Linked DNA regions of Ovis aries. The protein of the gene in region 1 interacts with the protein of each later gene in a pairwise test. Links are inferred from orthologs where the notes say so. Each region holds a gene or a part of one and is shown in the gene's direction. Other genes may lie near its edges. The genes, in order: AP1B1, KIF13A, AP1G1 and AP1M1.

The links.
Region 2: the proteins of AP1B1 (region 1) and KIF13A interact in binary tests that used the Homo sapiens proteins (3 or more experiments, as listed by UniProt). The link is inferred for Ovis aries from reciprocal best matches to the Homo sapiens genes AP1B1 and KIF13A.
Region 3: the proteins of AP1B1 (region 1) and AP1G1 interact in a two-hybrid assay, tested with the Homo sapiens proteins (2 studies listed by BioGRID, with this or other methods). The link is inferred for Ovis aries from reciprocal best matches to the Homo sapiens genes AP1B1 and AP1G1.
Region 4: the proteins of AP1B1 (region 1) and AP1M1 interact in a two-hybrid assay, tested with the Homo sapiens proteins (2 studies listed by BioGRID, with this or other methods). The link is inferred for Ovis aries from reciprocal best matches to the Homo sapiens genes AP1B1 and AP1M1.

The regions. Positions count from the first base shown.
Region 1 is NC_056070.1:68,659,664-68,664,731, reverse strand, and holds the start of AP1B1 (AP-1 complex subunit beta-1), read left to right. Parts: upstream 1-2,041; 5' UTR 2,042-2,188; exon of another isoform or gene 2,189-2,251; intron 2,252-4,206; 5' UTR 4,207-4,256; intron 4,257-5,068. UniProt on the Homo sapiens protein: Subunit of clathrin-associated adaptor protein complex 1 that plays a role in protein sorting in the late-Golgi/trans-Golgi network (TGN) and/or endosomes.
Region 2 is NC_056073.1:38,941,637-38,946,019, forward strand, and holds part of KIF13A (kinesin-like protein KIF13A), read left to right. Parts: intron 1-1,730; coding exon 1,731-1,944; intron 1,945-4,201; coding exon 4,202-4,364; intron 4,365-4,383. UniProt on the Homo sapiens protein: Plus end-directed microtubule-dependent motor protein involved in intracellular transport and regulating various processes such as mannose-6-phosphate receptor (M6PR) transport to the plasma membrane, endosomal sorting during melanosome biogenesis and cytokinesis.
Region 3 is NC_056067.1:38,790,012-38,795,187, forward strand, and holds the start of AP1G1 (AP-1 complex subunit gamma-1), read left to right. Parts: upstream 1-1,701; 5' UTR 1,702-2,136; exon of another isoform or gene 2,137-5,176. UniProt on the Homo sapiens protein: Subunit of clathrin-associated adaptor protein complex 1 that plays a role in protein sorting in the late-Golgi/trans-Golgi network (TGN) and/or endosomes.
Region 4 is NC_056058.1:6,572,776-6,576,587, reverse strand, and holds the end of AP1M1 (AP-1 complex subunit mu-1), read left to right. Parts: intron 1-904; coding exon 905-1,030; intron 1,031-1,757; coding exon 1,758-1,833; intron 1,834-2,003; coding exon 2,004-2,026; 3' UTR 2,027-2,839; downstream 2,840-3,812. UniProt on the Homo sapiens protein: Subunit of clathrin-associated adaptor protein complex 1 that plays a role in protein sorting in the trans-Golgi network (TGN) and endosomes.

The DNA.
Region 1 (5,068 bases):
ATTTTTTTGGGCTCCCAAAATCACTGCAGATGGTGACTGCAGCCATGAAATTAAAAGACGCTTACTCCTTGGAAGGAAAGTTATGACCAACCTAGATAACATATTAAAAAGCAAAGATATTACTTTGCCAACAAAGGTCCATCTTGTCAAGGCTATGGTTTTTCCTGTGGTCATGTACGGATGTGAGAGTTGGACTGTGAAGAAAGCAGAGCGCCGAAGAATTGATGCTTTTGAACTGTGGTGTTGGAGAAGACTCTTGAGAGTCCGTTGGACTGCAAGGAGATCCAACCAGTCCATTCTGAAGGAGATCAGCCCTGGAATTTCTTTGGAAGAAATGATGCTAAAGCTGAAACTCCAGTACTTTGGCCACCTCATGCGAAGAGTTGACTCATTGGAAAAGACCGTGATGCTGGGAGGGATTGGGGGCAGGAGGAGAAGGGGACGGCAGAGGATGAGATGGTTGGATGGCATCACTGACTTGATGAACATGAGTCTGAGTGAACTCCGGGAGATGGTGATGGACAGGGAGGCCTGGCGTGCTGCGATTCATGGGATCGCAAAGAGTCGGACACGACTGAGCAACTGAACTGAACTGATGATATGTATTATATTATATATAACATATAATACAATTTTAAATATATAAATTAATATTATATACGCATATATAGATATATACATACATATATATGCATATAAAATACATGTTATATTAATATATTATAATATATTATATATAATGTTATATACTTTATATATTATATTATAATATATGATTATTATATATAAAATACATACAGACATATATATGCATCAGTTCAGTGTTTATATATAACACATATTATATATTTATATATTATATATTATATTTCTAATATATTATTTATATATTATATATAATATAGTATAATTTATAATACATAATATATATTGTACATAATGTAGAATAAATAAATGTATTATGTATTATAATTATATATAATATATAAGTAAATATATTTATATATACATAAATATATAAAATGTATAATATAATATTATACATTTTATAATATTAAAAGACTAGTGATAAAGTGCACAACTGTAGGGGACTGTTTCGGAGAACAGTGGTGCCGTTCATACTGCGCAATTCCATGCAGATATTGTAAAACACCAAGTAGAAATGTATTTATTGTTTTGGGAAACAATAATTCACCAATTCACCAATATCTTGGTGAATTAAAAATACTGAATGGATATATCGAGTCTGGAAGGATATTCACCAAAATCTTAAAAATTATTGTCTCAGGGTGGCAGGATTGCAGGATTTTTTACATAGCCTTTTGCTTACTCGTATATTTCCATAATGCAAATATTATTTTAGATGTTTTTAAGAAGATGATCAGAAATTATCTAGGAGGAGGAGAAAGTTAATAATACCAGAGCTGGGAGTGAGATACCTATAGCAACCCTGGCCTGGCCGACCCAGCAAAACGGGAAATGGAACTTTTAAGTTCTCCTTGGAGGTGTGAGGTTTACGCGGAATTCCCCGAAGGGCTGCTTCAAGCGGTAGGTTAGACTTACAGCTCTAGTTTAACTCTTCTCTTCACAGGTAAGTGATCTTGAGCAACACTGGCGCCTCTCAGAGACTGAGTTTTCCTGTTTGTAACACAGAAGCGAAGCTGACCTCAAAACAAAGAAAAATAGACCTCAAAGTCTCTATGATCTTCTCCATCTCCGTCATGTTATATAGGCTCAGTTCAGCTCAGTTCAGTCGCTCAGTCGTGTTCGACTCTTTGCGACCCCATGGACTGCAGCACGCCAGGCCTCCCTGTCCATCACCAACTCCCGGAGTTTACTCAAACTCATGTCCATTGAGTCGGTGATGCTATCCAACCATCTTGTGGTATTTTTTGCTTGGCGGAGCAGCAACGTGTCGAGGGCGGAGTTAACTCCGACGCCCCGCCCCCTGGCCCCGCCTCGCTGCCACCGCCCCCGCCCGGGTTGTACCCTTGACCCCGCCCCCAGCCTGTGCGTCCACCGGAAGTGCCCGCGCGCGGGCAGCTCACTTCCGCCTGGCAGGTGACAGCCGCGGGGCTCCGAGCGTCCGGCGGCGCGGGCGCACCGGGAGAGCGGGAGGACAAGGCCGCGGACATTTTCCTGTCGCGTCGAGCCGCGCCGTGGCGTCAGGAGCCTTTCGGACCTGCGGGTGAGGAAGCGGGGAGCCTGGCGAGGCCAGAGAAGAAGTGGGGCGGGGAGTCGGGAGTCTGAGGTGAGGGATTTCTGGGGTCAAAGGTCACGGAGAGTACAGGGCGCTGGAGGGTCTAGAGTGGCTTCCCAGGACGGGAGGAGGCAGAAGGGCTGCGGGTTCATTCATTCGCGCCCCCTTGGCCGCCGGCGTGCACCCCAGCCGTCCCAGGTCCGCAGTCCCTGCCGGGGCGCCCTCCCGTAGAGACTCCTAGACTTAGGCCCAGGGGAGCTTGTGCCTGGCCTGACAGGAAACTTCTCTTCGGGTCTTGGTTCCCCCTGCACACTCAGCGCCGTGGCTGTCCTGAGGCCTCCTTGTCGTTAAGGGCCTTATCTCTTTGCCAAGGTTCAAAAACAGAAAAAAAAATATGAAACGGCCTGGCGCCACCGCCTCTAGGGTGGGGTTAAACAGAGGATTGGTCTGTCCCTAGGCGCCTCACAGACGAGGTAACTGGGGACCCCTGTAATAACGCCAGAACTACTGATGGGAATGCTAGCTGCTGGTTATTGAGCTGTGTGCAGGCACCGTGCTTAGAATGCCGCATTTAAACTTCCCAGCAATCTTGGTGAGGTAGCTACTATTATTATCCCCATTTTATCCACGAAGAAACTGAGGCACAGAAAAGTTAAATCACACCTGTAAGGTCAATCGAGTAGTATGGATGAATGCCAGGGTTCCTACCTGGGCTCGCAGGGACCTGCAGCGTGCTGAGACTGAAGCAAGGTTGGCATTTAGGGGCTGTTTAATATCTTTAGCCGCCATTAAATTTATTTGCATCTATATAAAGATATATTTCCCTGGAGAAGGAAATGGCAACCCACTCCAGTATTCTTGCCTGGAGAATCCCATGGACAGCGGAGCCTGGTGGGCTGCAGTCCATGGGGTCGCAGAGTTGGACATGACTGAGCGACTGAACAATAGCATTTAGAGATGTAGCTTGCTTTCTTCTCATCTACCTTCCTAAGGAGCATTTGATTCCCTTTCTTTAGGATGAAATTAGGCCATTGCTATAACTGATTTCTGTTCAGGGTGAGAAGGGGCCTTTTTCCCAACTGTTGAGAACTGCGAGACATAAAACAGTCTAGCCATGCAATGAATTTAAGAATATGCTGCACCTCTCTTGAGAGTGGTCAAGCTGCATTCTTTTTCAAGTAAGGGGAGGAACCACATGACCCCTAGGGTATCTTTTGGCCCTAGGTTCTTGAAGAGCATTCCCAAGGCAAGGACCTGAGTCTCTGAGAAAAGTGCAGGTCCCATGCCTTCTTGACTGGAGAACACACATCTTGCCTGGGAGACAGTGAGGTGGTTTCATGGCCAGAGGATTAGGTCTTGTGAGTCTGAGCTTTACTCGGTTGCAGACATTCACGTGCTGCAGTTCGGCTTCAGTTTCCCTGATAGCAGCACAGACCTGCTGACTTCCTACACACTCCGGGGTTTTACAAGCCTTAGTGAACCTGTGAGGATTTCCACGCACTTATAAAGAAAGCTGAGGTATAAATATTACTGTGCAGTACCTGTTTTTAAACTCCACTGTCTGTTTTCCTAGTTCCATTGAATTCACAGAAACTTAATATTGTCACCTGATCCCCATCCTTCCAAGGGAGGATTTGAGATAAAGTGACTCGTCACAGATGGTAGGAACAGGAGCAGCGCTCAGAGTGTCTGGCTCCCTGTCCTGAGTTGAGCCCACCAGGCTCCTTCAACCCCTCAGGGCAGCTTCATGAAGAGTGGCTTCACTAGTGTTCAAAGACTCAGGTCCCTCAGACTTTGTATAAAGTTTAACTGTTGAGTGTAGTTTGAGTAGAGGCTTCACCTGAGTGACTTGGAGAGCTCAGTGGTGTGGTGGAAAGAGCCTTCCTTGTCCCCCCATCTGTCAGCCGTGGATTCTCCCCCCAGATCAGCAGCTTCTTGGTAGCGTGACCCAGAGCCACCTATCCCTCAGCTCTACAATAATACCACCACCTTCACCTCCCCCTCAGCAGTGACTCGTGTGGAAGCTGGACAAGGACTTTGTGCAGAGTCTGTTGTGGTGAGTGCCTTGACCCTAGGCAGTTGATGTTTCCTGGGGGCTGGTTTTGGGGGTGTTACTTCTCTCTGCAGAGTCCTTTGTGTACACAGGACCTCTCCCATCCTTCTTGTTTCACTTCCTTAAAGTGTTTCAGAACAAGTTCAATCTGTTGATCCTGCTAGCTCTGGGCTTGGACTTTCATCTTTCTCTAGTTATCCTTGAAGCTGTTGCATGACTTGCTTGCTTACTTCCCGAAAACCCCCATTCTTGGCACCAAAGTGTGATGTGCTAATGGTGAGCCAGCATGGCTTGGTTATGAGTTTTGAGCTCCAATGTGTTTCCAGAAATCAAAGGGGCTTCTGTTACTTGCAGGTATTTCTTTTTCTGAATAGGTCTTTTTGCCTAAGATAGATCACTGATAAATTTTCACAGCCCAGGAATGATTTTTGTGTTCTTTTTCTCTCCACACAGAGAGGAATGAACAGCTCCAGAGAGAAAATATTAATTAGACAAGTGGGGAATCTTTTAAAAATAATTCTACTTGAAGGGACTTCCCTGGTTGCCTAGTGGTCACGAATTTGCCTTGCAATGCAGGGGACTTGGGTTCGATCCCTGGTCAGGGAACTAAGATCCCACATGCCGCAGAGCAACCAGGCCCACACTCCACAACTAGAGAGTCCGTGGGTCGCAACAAAGGATCCCATGTGCTGCAGCTGAGACCCAGTACGACTAAATAAATACATATTTTTTAAACAGTTCTACTTGAGTGTCCATCCGCGGACCCTCCTTGCTCTTGGCTGAAGCTCGCATTTCTTGGCCTGGCCTGCACGGCC
Region 2 (4,383 bases), on another chromosome or scaffold:
TTAGAATTTTCCATCAGCAAAGAACAGTATTTTTTAAACATCTGTTCTTTGGCAGAGTACTAATTCTGAGGAAAACATTGGAGGTAAGAGTATAATTTATTACTAAGTTTGTTTCCTACCCCAGATAATTAATTCTGGTCTGAGTTCAAAACCCGGCTCTGTTGCTTTGCTTATTAGCTGTGCCATCTTAGGTTGGCCACTTAACTTTTCTGAGCTCCAGTCATCTCCTCTTTAAAATGGGAATGCTGCCCACCCCTAGGTTTGTTGCAAGGCTTTCATGAGATGATGCATGCGAAGCATATAGTGCCTCTACTCTGAGACATAAGCCAACAGATAGCAGCATTATTATTGCTGTTGTGGTCATCATTTTTATTAAAACAGCTCACCTGTACTGTGCATATCTAGTGATTTTTAAAATTACTTTTACTCTGTTTTGTATTCTTTAACCTTTTTTAAGCTAAAGTGCTATTTTTTCCCCTTCATCTCATATAGAAAACCAGTAAAATATGAATGCTTATTTCACAAATTGATAGGGTCTTCTGGTCTAGTCAGTCGGTATCCATCATCAGGTGATGTGAAGATTCCTCTTAATTTCCTTCTCTTATCCCAGAAATTAAAATGAGACTCAATTTGTAGAAATAGGACACTGCACTGAATAATAGGCAAGTGCGTAAATCGCAGGCTAGTCTGAGAATACAAGTAAATCTCCTAGGTCTTATGTACTTCAAGGAAATATTTACCGTTATGGTAAGTTTCTTTGTTTACCATCCAGATTGTCTAACATACTGTTTCCCTATTACGGCCTCCTCACTTGGATGTGTCATAGCTTTCTCTTTTGTACACGTGGTCTGTGCTTTCCTTAGTTTTTGTCCACTGCATCCAGGTCATCAGCTGTTACCGAGCTAATGTCCTGGGACAACCAATTAGCTCTTTAGGATTGAGTCCTACCTACACCATAACCACCCCTAGTCATAGTCAGGGCTCCATTAAACAAGATCTGTTAGTATTTCTAATACCTGTTCACTGACATGTCTGTTGGTCATCTTTCAATCTGCAAAAGCAAAAAAGCAGAAGTAGACTTCTGTTTTTGTAAGTGAATTGCTTTCTTGGCTATTAACACCTGAGAAATTGGCAGACCATATACTCAATTCATATTTTCAAACAGATGCTGTGATCTGTAAGTTTCCTCCCACATTAGAGGAATTCAGGAGAAACAAATTTTTAGCCATATTGGAACTATAAGCCCTTTGTCATTGGGTTTGTCAGTGGGAACTACTATAAACCCTTTGTCAACTAAGACCAATGGTAAATGCACCTAAAAAGTGACGACATAAAATCAAATCTTGTGTGGCTCTGTCTTTGAAATCACCTTAGATTTCATCGAGTCTTTCTTCTCGGTGGATAGAATACCATCCCTTTCTCCTCTACCTTCTTCTTTTTGTAGTTGAGCCACCTATCTACACATCAGGGCGAGCTCATCAAATTGAAGAACGTAATAATAGATGTGAGGAGTGTTTCCATACAAGGTGTTTAATCTGAAATGTTAAGAAAAAGGAAATGGAGAGAATTCCACCTGACTGGGCCCGGCCGGCCGCTCACAGACAAGCGCGCTGAAGGGCTCCATCTGGGGGACGAGATGGTTCTTGTTAGAAGCCTCGCTGGGGGTTGGGGGGCGCTGCCTGTCTGAGTCACTGCTGAAGAGCCCCTTGCCTTGTCTCTTGGCTCACCAGACCCAGTTCAGAACGTGGTGCAGGTCCTGGAGAAACAGTACCTGGAAGAAAAGCGAAGCGCCCTCGAGGAGCAGCGACTCATGTACGAGCGGGAGCTGGAGCAGCTCCGCCAGCAGCTGTCCCCGGAGAGGCAGCCCCAGATCAGCGGCCCCGACCGCCTGGCCTACAGCAGCCAGACAGCGCAGCAGAAGGTGACCCAGTGGGCCGAGGAGAGGTAGGAAGGGGACCCGGGGGCCTGGGGCAAGGCCTCGGGGCCTCGGGGGAGGCCGTTGTAAGGCACGTCAAACGGGGACAAACCTAGCAAAGAGGGAAATCTTACTTCCATGTCTGAATTGTTAGAAGTCGCCTTGTCTTTCAAGGAAGTTCCCCCTGGAGAAGGAAATGGCACCCCGCTCCAGTCTTCTTGCCTGGAAAATCCCATGGATGGAGGAGCCCAGCGGGCTACAGTCCATGGGATCTGAAAGAGTCGGATACAACTGAGAGACTTCACTTTTTCACTTTCAAGTATATTTACTGTGACATCAGTTGTTAAAGATTACACCTGCCCCCTTACCCTTCAGTAAAAATGGTGCCAAGTTAGAATATCACAGTTTCGTTCTGAAGTAAAGAATAATTGAATAGTTCTAAAGCATAAAAGCATGCTTCCCTGGTGTCTTTGACGGTAAAGAATCCGCCTGCAATGCAGAATACCTGGGTTTGATCCCTGGGTCCAGAAGATCCTCTGGAGAAGGAAATGGCAACCCATTCCAGTATTCTTGCCTGAGAAATCCATGGACAGAGGAGCCTGGTGAGCTACAGTCCATGGGGTCCCAAAGAATTGGACATGACTGAGCGACTTTCACTCACTCAAAGCATAAAAAGCATTTCTTGTTCTGTTATTTCTCTTACTTTGGAATCAATGTAAATGCAGTTTTAATGTTAAGAAATCTGTGAATTTTTTAAATTTACAACTTTAAAATATTTGTATCAGAACTGAGGCAGCAGTGGAGGAAATGGTAACAACGGTAAAGATAGTAAATTATTACAAAGCTCTGTTGTATTCTTGCCACGGTCTAGGAATGATGCTTTTTTATGATCCCAACAGCACCAAGTCATGGGAAATATTATTTCAATCAATTGAAATACCCTATCAGTCATGCTTTCAGTAAATGAAAAGGCCAGGCTTTGTTGACAGTCCATTAATAACTCCTCTGTTGTAATAATAATAGCACCGGACATTTCTTAAGCATTTATTGCGTGTCGACACTCTATGCTACAGAAAATCCGAGTGTAACTTTGCAGTTGGCCCTTGATATCTACATTCCACATCCACAGATTCAACCAACCATGGGTCACAGAGAAAAAATTCCATATCTAAGCAGACCTGTGCGGTTCAAACTCATGTTGTTCAAGGGTCAGCTATACTCTTTCTTTTGTTCAGTGGGTAATTTTTGCATATTCTGTGATGGGCCATGTACTTGGCCAGGAATTAAGTGTAGTGACAAGCAAAAAAGACATGGCCCCTGCTCTAGGGGTGCTTACTAAAGCTTCATAGGGGAGATGGATGTTATTAGTCAAATAATTATACAAATAAGTGAAAAATTGTAACTATGATGAAGACTGAAAATGAAAGTCACTCAGTCATGTCTGACTCTTTGCGACCCCATGGAACAGACCATGGAATTCTCCAGGCCAGAATACTGGACTGGGTAGCCATTCCCTTCTCCAGGGGATCTTCCCAACCCAGGGATCGAACCCAGGTCTCCCGCATTGCAGGTAGATTCTTTACCAGCTGAGCCACCAGGGAAGCCCAAGACTACTGGAGTGAGTAGCCTATCTCTTCTCCAGCGGATCTTCCCATCCCAGGAATCGAACCAGGGTCTCCTGCATTGCAGGCGGATTCTTATCAGCTGAGCTACATGACAAAGACTACGGAGGCAAAAGATGTGGCTCCGGGAAAACATGTAATAGGGTTTGGATCTAGTTAGGATGTTAGAGACACATTTATCAAGAAGCACTATCATTTAGAGTTGAAAAGCAAACTTCTGCTGCCCCAGAAGTACATACTTCTCACATTTACCAAGTGAAGAAATCACATAAAACACTTTCTCCTTATTCTAGATCTCCTCCACTCTAAAGTTTACAAAAGTCATAATGATTTCTTTTTCCTAAAGGAATGTTTTATTGGGCTTTTTTTTTTTTTTTTTGCATTTTCATATCAAAATCTATTCTTTTTCAAATATTATAGAATTTAAAACATGGTTGGAAGTTAAGTTACCCCATACATTTGCTTCTCATCCCTGGTTACCAGTGGATAACCCATGGAACCCCAGTGGGAAGAGGGAAGGATAAGAGGTGAATTGGCAAAAATAGGTTGAAAGATAATTGTCTGAGAGGAGATTCTTAACTACTTTCTAACAGTATGACTCACTTGGAAAACGGGATTGCAGTTTTCTTCCGGATGTGCTCACTTCCTTCTCTGCTGCTTGCAGGGATGAACTCTTTCGCCAAAGTTTGGCAAAACTGCGGGAGCAGCTGGTGAAAGCCAACACCCTGGTGAGAGAGGCAAACTTCTTAGCCGAGGAGATGAGCAAGCTCACCGACTACCAGGTGACTCTGCAGATCCCTGCTGCGAACCTCAGTGCCAACAGGAAGGTAAGAATGCTCTCAAAGG
Region 3 (5,176 bases), on another chromosome or scaffold:
TCCATGTGATTACATTGACTAGTTTTCTGTGATTATGGTTTCAGTGATGCCCTCTCAAAACACCTACCGTCTTACTTGGGTTTTCTTACCTTGGACTTGGGGTATCTCTTCACGGCTGTTCCAGCAAAGCACAGCCGCTACTGTGTGGATCACAATAAACTGTGGAAAATTCTGAAAGAGATGGGAATACCAGACCACTTGACCTGCCTCTTGAGAAACCTATATGCAGGTCAGGAAGCAACAGTTAGAACTGGACATGGAACAACAGACTGGTTCCAAATAGGAAAAGGAGTACATCAAGGCTGTATATTGTCACCCTGCTTATTTAACTTATATGCAGAGTACATCATGAGAAACTCTGGGCTGGAAGAAACACAAGCTGGAATCAAGATTGCCGGGAGAAATATCAATAACCTCAGACATGCAAATGACATCACCCTTATGGCAGAAGGTGAAAAGGAACTAAAAAGCTCTTGATGAAAGTGAAAGAGGAGAGTGAAAAGGTTGGCTTAATGCTCAACATTCAGAAAATGAAGATCGTGGCATCCGGTCCCATCACTTCATGGGAAATAGATGGGGAAACAGCGGAAACAGTGTCAGACTTTATTTTTGGGGGCTCCAAAATCACTGCAGATGTTGATTGCAGCCATGAAATTAAAAGACACTTACTCCTTGGAAGGAAAGTTATGACCAACCTAGACAACATATTAAAAAGCAGAGACATGACTTTGCCAACAAATGTCCATCTAGTCAAGGCTATGGTTTTTCCGGTGGTCATGTATGGATGTGAGAGTTGGACTGTGAAGAAAGCTGAGCACCAAAGAAGTGATGCTTTTGAACTGTGGTGTTGGAGAAGACTCTTGAAGTCCCTTGGACTGCAAGGAGATCCAACCAGTCCATTCTAAGGGAGATCAGCCCTGGGTGTTCTTTGGAAGGAATGATGTTAAAGCTGAAACTCTGGTACTTTGACCACCTCATGCGAAAAGTTGACTCATTGGAAAAGACTGATGCTGGGAGGGATTGGGAGCAGGAAGAGAAGGGGACGACAGAGGATGAGATGGCTGGATGGCATCACTGACTCCACGGACGTGAGTCTGAGTGAACTCCAGGAATTGGTGATGGACAGGGAGGCCTGGGGTGCTGCAATTCATGGGGTCACGGAGTCGGACACAACTGAGCGACTGAACTGAACACAAATTTTCTCTTTTTACAATGAGGAAACTGAGACCCAGAGAATCTAAATGTCTTGTTCAATGCCAAAGGTTGACAGGTGATAGTGTGCTTGAAATCCATTCTTCTGTGACATCCTCTATTTTTATAAAATGTGTTGCAAAGATGACATAAAACTTCAGAATCCAAGACTACTTGGAGCATGATCCTAAAGTTAACCTACACAGAAAGCTAAGGTCTGAAAAGTGATAGGTAAGAATTTGGGGTTCTGGTGGATCAGGACCAGCTCGGCCAGGCTCAGTATTCTCCGCCTCTACCTGCTTCTCCTCCCCATTTCCTCCGCTACCTTGCTAGCCCCACCCTTTTCAGGTGGCCCCGCCACTTCCTGGCAGCCCAGCTCCCACCCCACCGCAGGCGGAACCAATGTTCGTGGGCTCTGGGGTCCACCGGATCTTTCTCGCTCAGACTCTCCGCAGCGGTGACTCGGCAGCGGCGTCTCGCGTCATCAGTGACAGCCCCGATTCTTGCTACGCTTTGCGTCGCTCTTCCAGGAGCAGTCACCTCCTCCTTGGCAAATAGTCCTCGGTGGGGTCCGAATTCTTGGATAATAGGAGAGGGGAAGCAAGAGAAGTTGCAGTCTGGGAACGCGGGACCGACAAGCAGAGAGAGATAGGGCCCTAAGTTTCTGTGATAGTGTGCAAAGTTAGTTAAAAACTCCTTCCCACCTAAGATCCCTCCGCCTGCAGTAGCGGTGGTGAGGCCGAGGGAGCCGCCATTTTGGATGTTCGGTTCCTGCTGCCACTGCTGCCACCGCCCCCGGAGCTGCTGGTTTCATTCGAGGTTTCGGGCCGGTGAGTGTCAGTCGCGGCGCGAAGAGAATACTTCTTGTTTTACTCTTTGCCTGCCGGGAGCTCTCGGCCGGAAGTTTCCTGTCTATCCCAGGGGTCCGGTCCCAGATCGTGGAGGGTGAGAAGAGAGGACAGAGACTGGGCCAGGAGGGGCCGGGAGCACAAGGGTTGTTCATACTTCTTGAGGGCCAGCCCCGAGGCCTCAGACCCGGAGGCTCCGCACGCGGCTGCGTCTGTGTTATGGCGTTGCCCGGCCGGTACGGGCCTCCTTGCACCCATTGACTTTCTCAGGCTGCACTCCTCCTTTGAGGACTCATTGAGAGAGCCTGGGGTTAGCGGGGCGGGTCCCACCTCCGCGTGTCTTCTGTTTGCCACGTATCAGTGTTCTTGTATCTTGCATCCTAGTCAGGTCTTTCGTGAAACTCTCTTCTGTATTTCCAAATGCTCGGTTAGTTAATCGTTGTCTGCATCCGCATTGCCGTTCTCTTTGAACTGGACGTCGGCCTCGCCTCTCTCTAACCTTCCAACCAACTTCTTTCCCAATTTTCTGGGGTTCCCCCCGTCTTTTTCTTAAACTCACCTGTGAATGCATTGGTTACCCTTCTCTCAAAGTCCTAATCCTGCAGGCATCAGTTATTAATAATTCTCCCGATTTTCTTGGCGGCTTGACAGAGTCGGGACCGTTGGTTGTGTTTCTCAGTTAGGGTTTGGTGTAGGAGATTCGTCGAACCACTCGCTCAAGAGTGTGCTTCAACAGTACGTGTTTATAAAGCTGAGTAAAGGGTTTTTGGGGGGAAGGTGGTAGGAAGAGGCTGTCAAATATTTTCTCATTTGTATTTTCTCATCCCTTCTTGGGCTGAACACGTAGCTTCTGGGTACTTTTGGACACTTAACATATTTTTCTTAATGCTGTGTATCCCTGCCCAGGGCAGTCTGCCTCTGAAAAAGGATCTTAGTCTGACATTGGTAGAAGGGAAAGTAACCTTTTTTAGATACTGTAGGGATTAGTTAACAGAAGAGAGGAGTGAAGATTTCTTAGTGATTTTAACTTTCAAGTGGTTTGTACAGTAGTGTTCTTCGCTGATTAACTCCGGAAAAATACTTGGATTGACTTCTTGTATGTTATTTTTCTGGGGATAGTTGAATTTTAGATATTCACTTTTACTGTTCCCCATAATGCTTATCATACTGTATATGCTTTAACCTTTGCTTTAAAAATATAGACTCTCCAGACCCATAATTTCACCACTTTCATTCTATTCTTGAGGTATGTTTGCAGTATAGTATACTTGAATAAAAAGCATTTCACTGTAATTCACTGATTATTTCCTATAATTCAAGTTAGATGAGTGTGACTGAGTCACCTCTGTTTCACCTCAGCCTGGGTTTTCACATCTGCAAAAGAGAGATGTAAATTATTTGAGATGGTACCCTAGTGACTGCTGAAACTTAAATTTATAACTTGAACTTGACCAAATCTTTCAATACTTGAAATCCTAATTCCTGTATAAGTGCATTATTCTTATCAGGTTATTATCAGGTAGATAAATTCCTGTACTAGTCAAGAATGTTTCATTGTAAATAGTGTTCTTGGTATTTGTTTTCAGGAGACTTTCCAAAAATGTTTTATTTACTGTTTGTATATTTACTTTAAAGCCATGGAGTCTCATTTTGGTTTAAAGGGCTGTCTAACAAGATAAATGGAATCCTCACTCATATATGTGGGCTTCCCTGGTGCTCAGATGGTCAAGAATCTGCCCGCCATTCGGGAGACCTGGGTTCGATCCCTGGGTTGGGAAGATTCCTTGGAGGAGGAAATGGCAACCCACTCCAGTATTCTTGCCTTGGAGAATCCCCATGGGCAGAGGAGCCTGGTGGGTTGCAAAGAGTTGGACACGACTGAGTGACTAAACACAGCAGCACTCATATACTGAGTATACCCTTGTAGTTGCTACTGAAATGTTCATTTCTGAGTTACACTATCAAATACTCCCAATATTAAATATTGGGAGAGCTATCAGATGGGTGTTAACTTAGTTCATTTCAGGGTATTAAGTACTGCTATTTAAACGTCATTCATTCTTGGGTAGTTTGCATGCAGTTGGAGAAAGCATCCTTTTGCCTTGCAAATGATAAGTGTTTATTTTAGTGCACTTTCGAGTGATCATACTTGAATGTCTACTTGGTCTAAGGGATTGTTGGGGTTCCATACTTGAAATAAACATTGTTTAGGAAACCTTAATTTCTTTTGGAGCAGTTGCTTGTTCTTTGATTTGTTTCACTGACAGCAGTTCTAGATTTGAAGATGAATTTTAGAGTGAAAATATAAAGTACGAAAATTGTCAGCAATGTTTTGGTGATATTTCATCATACTATTTATTTTTAAAAGTGGTCTTGAGTCGAGATTAGTCGTGTGCAAAAACAAAAACTTATGTTTTTATGTGATTAGTAATAATACTATGCAGATTGAAAAAGTTGAAGGAATATTTTCCAAAAGATTATTTTTAATTAAAAAAATGGAATTGGGAAAACACATACCAAAACAGATTATCAAAATGCTTAATCTCCTTATTCGCATTTGATGAGGATTTAAAAATTTTGTGTATACAGCATGATGTAATTGATATCAAAACTTTAAAACTAATTTGGATTCAGCTTCAGAAAGTGTAAAACTATTACCTTTTTTCAACCTGCAGCAACTTGTTTTATCTGTTTTAGGTGCTTGTCTTTCAGTCTTCCTTTATGAATTGTTTCCAGTTCTTGATTTTGACTTTCATCCTTTTGTTACTTGTTCAGTTTCTTTCATGCAGGATGATGTTACAGTTGCTATGTGTTTGTTGCTCAGTAGTGTTCGACTGTTTGCTACCCCATCAACTAGCCCGCCAGGCTCCTCTGTCTGTGGAATTCTCCAGGCAAGAATACTGGAGTGGGTAACCATTCCCTTCTCCAGGGGATCTTCCCGACCCAGGGACCAAACCCAAGTCTCCTGCATTGCAGGCGAATTCTTTACCACCTGAGCCACCAGGGAAGCCCATTAAAGTAGTAAGCAGTTTTAAAATTAAGAGAACGTATAGATTTATGTAAGCGCTTGTATTTGTTGGCTTACAGGTTTTGAAAGTCATTTTTGGCAAAAAGTATTAGGATTCTTTCATTTGCCT
Region 4 (3,812 bases), on another chromosome or scaffold:
CATCCCTGAAAGGGGAGGGTGAGCACAGCACTGGAGAGGCAGAGCTCTGCGCTGCTCTGCCGAGGCCGTGCAGAGGCAGCCCTGGTCAGCAGTGACTCCTGTTTCCAAAGGCCTGAGGATCAAAACCCTCCGTGTCCTGGTGTGATGAGAGCTGCATTTCCTACTGCTCTCTGCAGTTCTGTGTTACTCACCAGGCACTGGGACAACCAGGCCAGGACTCCTGACCCCTCATGGCTGAGAGTTCAGTCGCTCAGTCGTGTCCGATTCTTTGCTACCCTGTGGACTGTAGCCTGCCAAGCTCCCCTGTCCATGGGATTTCCCAGGCAAGAATACTGGAGTGGGTGGCCGTTTCCTCCTCCAGGGGATCTTCCTGACCCAGGGATCGAACCAGCATCTCCTGCATTGGCAGGTGGATTCTTTACCACTGCACCAGCAGGGCAGCCATTCCTTCCCCCGCTACAAGTCCCAGCTCTGGAGTCCGCTTCCAGGGCCAGAGCCTTTCCCTTCCAGGGGGAGACCTAGGGCCAGCTCGTCAGTCCCAGGCAGCCCTGTCGCCCCGTGCCAGCGCTCGCTCTTCCTCTCCCTCCTTCCTCCCCAAGGCCTAGTGTTCTTCTTTTCCTCGACGCAACTAGGCTTCTGTGCCTGGGAACTTGTAGCAGTTTCTCTTCATCCTCAGAATTAGAGGATGAATTTTCCCTAGCGGGGCTGGTGTGGGCAGCCCAGGAGGCTTAGAGGATAAGGTAAGTGTGAGTGTGTTGCAGGAGCCGAGGCCCAGGGTGGCCACAGACCGTGCAGGAAGGGACTCGTTGGCCAGGCCCTCAGCCTGGCATTCTCCAGGGGCAGCTGTTGGATGGACCTGCCAGGGCCTCCGCCTGACCATCTCCTCTGTGGTCTGCTCCCGCAGGGCGGCAAGGAGTACCTGATGCGGGCCCACTTTGGCCTGCCCAGCGTGGAGGCAGAGGACAAGGAGGGCAAGCCCCCGATCAGCGTCAAGTTCGAGATCCCCTACTTCACTACCTCTGGCATCCAGGCACGTGCAACCAGGGCAGCCGGGGCCCCGGGGCAGACATGGACAGGCCCAGCGGGGCCTCTCAGGGGCCAGGCACCAGTCCAGGCTCAGAGGGTTGAAGGTGACAGACACGAGTGCAGCCAGTTAGCGAAGGGTGCTAGCTGACTCGTCCCAGCACTCCAAGCTGCTCCCCAGCCCTGCCCATCTCCGTGGGCGCCCTGCCCATCTCCGTGGCCGCCCTGCCCGTCTCCGTGGCCGCCCTGCCCGTCTCCGTGGGCGCCCTGCCCGTCTCCGTGGGCGCCCTGCCCGTCTCCGTGGGCGCCCTGCCCGTCTCCGTGGGCAGCCTGGCCCTGATGGAAAGAGGCCTGCAGTGGTCTGCTCACACCTGACCTGTGCTCCAGGCTCAGAGATGCATTCAGCCCCCAAAACTAATGTCCACACACTTGCCGCTGTGGGGTCCATTTTCCTGGCACCTCCACGGAAGCCCTGTATGGGGCAGAAAACCCTGGGATTGACCCCTTCTCTAGGAATCTGCTAGAGGGTCGTGCCTGCGAGTGCACATCTGGCTCTTGCCGCACCTTCTAGAAGCATCTCCACCCTCCCCCGGCCTGAGTGTGAAATAGACTAATGTGCTTCGCCCTCTCCCTCGCCCTCTTGGTCTCAGCCCAGCCCCAGGAGGAGTGGCTGGGTGGGCAGCCAGGAGTGGGGCCGCGTGTGCATGCTTAGGGCCCTGATGCCTGTGCCGCAGGTGCGTTACCTGAAGATCATCGAGAAGAGTGGCTACCAGGCCTTACCGTGGGTTCGCTACATCACTCAGAACGGAGGTGCGTGCGACCCGCCCTAGGGGCAGGGGGGGATTGCTGAAAAGGCCCCTGGTGGGCGTGCCTCTGTCCCCAGGGTGGTGCTCAGGGAGCAACCTCAGGGTCAGGGCAGGTGGGGCGGCCCCTCCTCCAGGGTCAGAGCAGACAATGGACGCCCCCCTCCCTCTTTGTAGATTACCAGCTCCGGACCCAGTGAGCAGCCGTGGTGGCCCACCCTCCCAGCCCGGAGGCTCCCGGTGGAAGCGCCTGCCCAGCCTGCTGGAGGGAGGGGCTCCCCTGGACCCTGGCGCCCCTCCAGGCTCCACCCAGGAGCCCCTCCTCCCAGGTGCACCTGCTCTGCCGCCGCCACTCTCACCTCCCAAGTCCCCTTTTCCCAGAAGAGGCTCATCTTCAAGAGGTCTTGTCTCTCAGTCCCTGAGTCAGTTTAGGGAGAAGGAAAGGCATCTTTCCCTCCAGAGGTCAAATACAGCCTTCTGTGCTGTTCCGCTCCCGGTCACAGAAAGAGTGGGAAGCACCGCCCGGGCCGCGCTCTGGCCAGGCTGGCAGGGCTGCCCTCGTGCTGCCACTCTGTTGGATGCCGTGGGTTTATCGAGCATTCCTAGATTTTGTCTCCGGCCGTCGCTGTGTATGTGATCCTCGCTGTCTGTGCCTCCCTCCCCCGTCCTGAAGCTCTCAGGCAGCACTTAGCGAGGACAGGCTTCCCCTTCCTCGCCCTCCTCCCCAGTGAGGCTGACACCGGTTTGCCCTCTCAGCACCTGGCGTTTCGACTAGAGGCTCCTGGTCTGGAGCTTTGAATAGAGACGCCTTCTCAGGGCCAGCCCGTGCCACATGATGCTGTCACTCAGCCACATCAGTGTTTGTCCCGCCAGGGGAAGAGGGGTCCAGCGCGGGCCCCCAGCCTCAGAGGGTGGGGGTCCCAGGCCATCCCCATCTGTGCTTGGACACCGCCGCCCCCAACCCTGTCCATGTTTGTGCCATGAGTACATTAAACTCCATCGGTTAAACATGCCTTCCGTCTGGTACAGCGTTGTGCTGACTCCTGGGTGCCCAGGAGAGGGGTAGGCGCACACCAACCTGAGTGGGGCACCAGTCCCTGGGGCCCCTATGTCCCCTGGGGAAGACGGGACCAGGCAATGAGCAAGCAGAGCCATTGCCCAGGGGCCTCCCAGAGGGGCTGCAGAGGGGAGGGCTCACGGGCAAACGTTTCCGTCCCGTCTGAGATGACCGTCACAGCCCTCGGCCCTCGGGCCACCAGCAGCCTGCTCCCCTCCGCAGCCCAGTGGGCTTCCTCAAGAGTGTGGTCCTGCTGCCAGCAGCATCAGTGTCCCCCCGCACGTGCAGGCTCACAGGCGCCCTCCTTTACCCGCCGTGGCAGTCTCTGGAGGTGGGGCCAGGAGACCGGCTAACAGGCTCTGCATGTGATTCATACGTGCCCTGGAGTCTGAGGACCGCGGCCTGGCGCCCCCTCCACAGGGGGGTCTCGGCAGGGCCGTGGGCAGAAGGCAGCTTGTCTGCCCACTGCAGTCACAGGCCTGCCCCCTGCTGCCTGCAGGGGCTGTGTCTCCCTTTCCCTCTCCCGTATCACCCAGCCCCGCCTTGGAGGTCTATTGGGCACCAACCCAAGTGGAGTCTTGATCATCTACCACATGGCAGAAAGAACGCTGCCCTGGCCCAGGGCTCAGGCCAAAGCCCTTATAGGCACCCTGATGCCCCACCCCTCACTGCCATGCCCGCATCTGCAGCAAGCCCTGGCGGCCCCCTCCAGGAGACACTGGGGAGCCACAGCGTACAAAGAGACAGTGGCCAGAATTTCCCCAGATGAGTGAAAATCTTTAAATTCTCAGATTCAGGAAACCAGTGAGCCCAAATCAGGATCAATAAACCTAAGTCTATAACTAAAAAACATCACAGTCAAAACACAAATCATCAGACACTTAGTGAAGCGTATAAAAGCAATGCAAAGAAGGTTAAAAACACAGAAC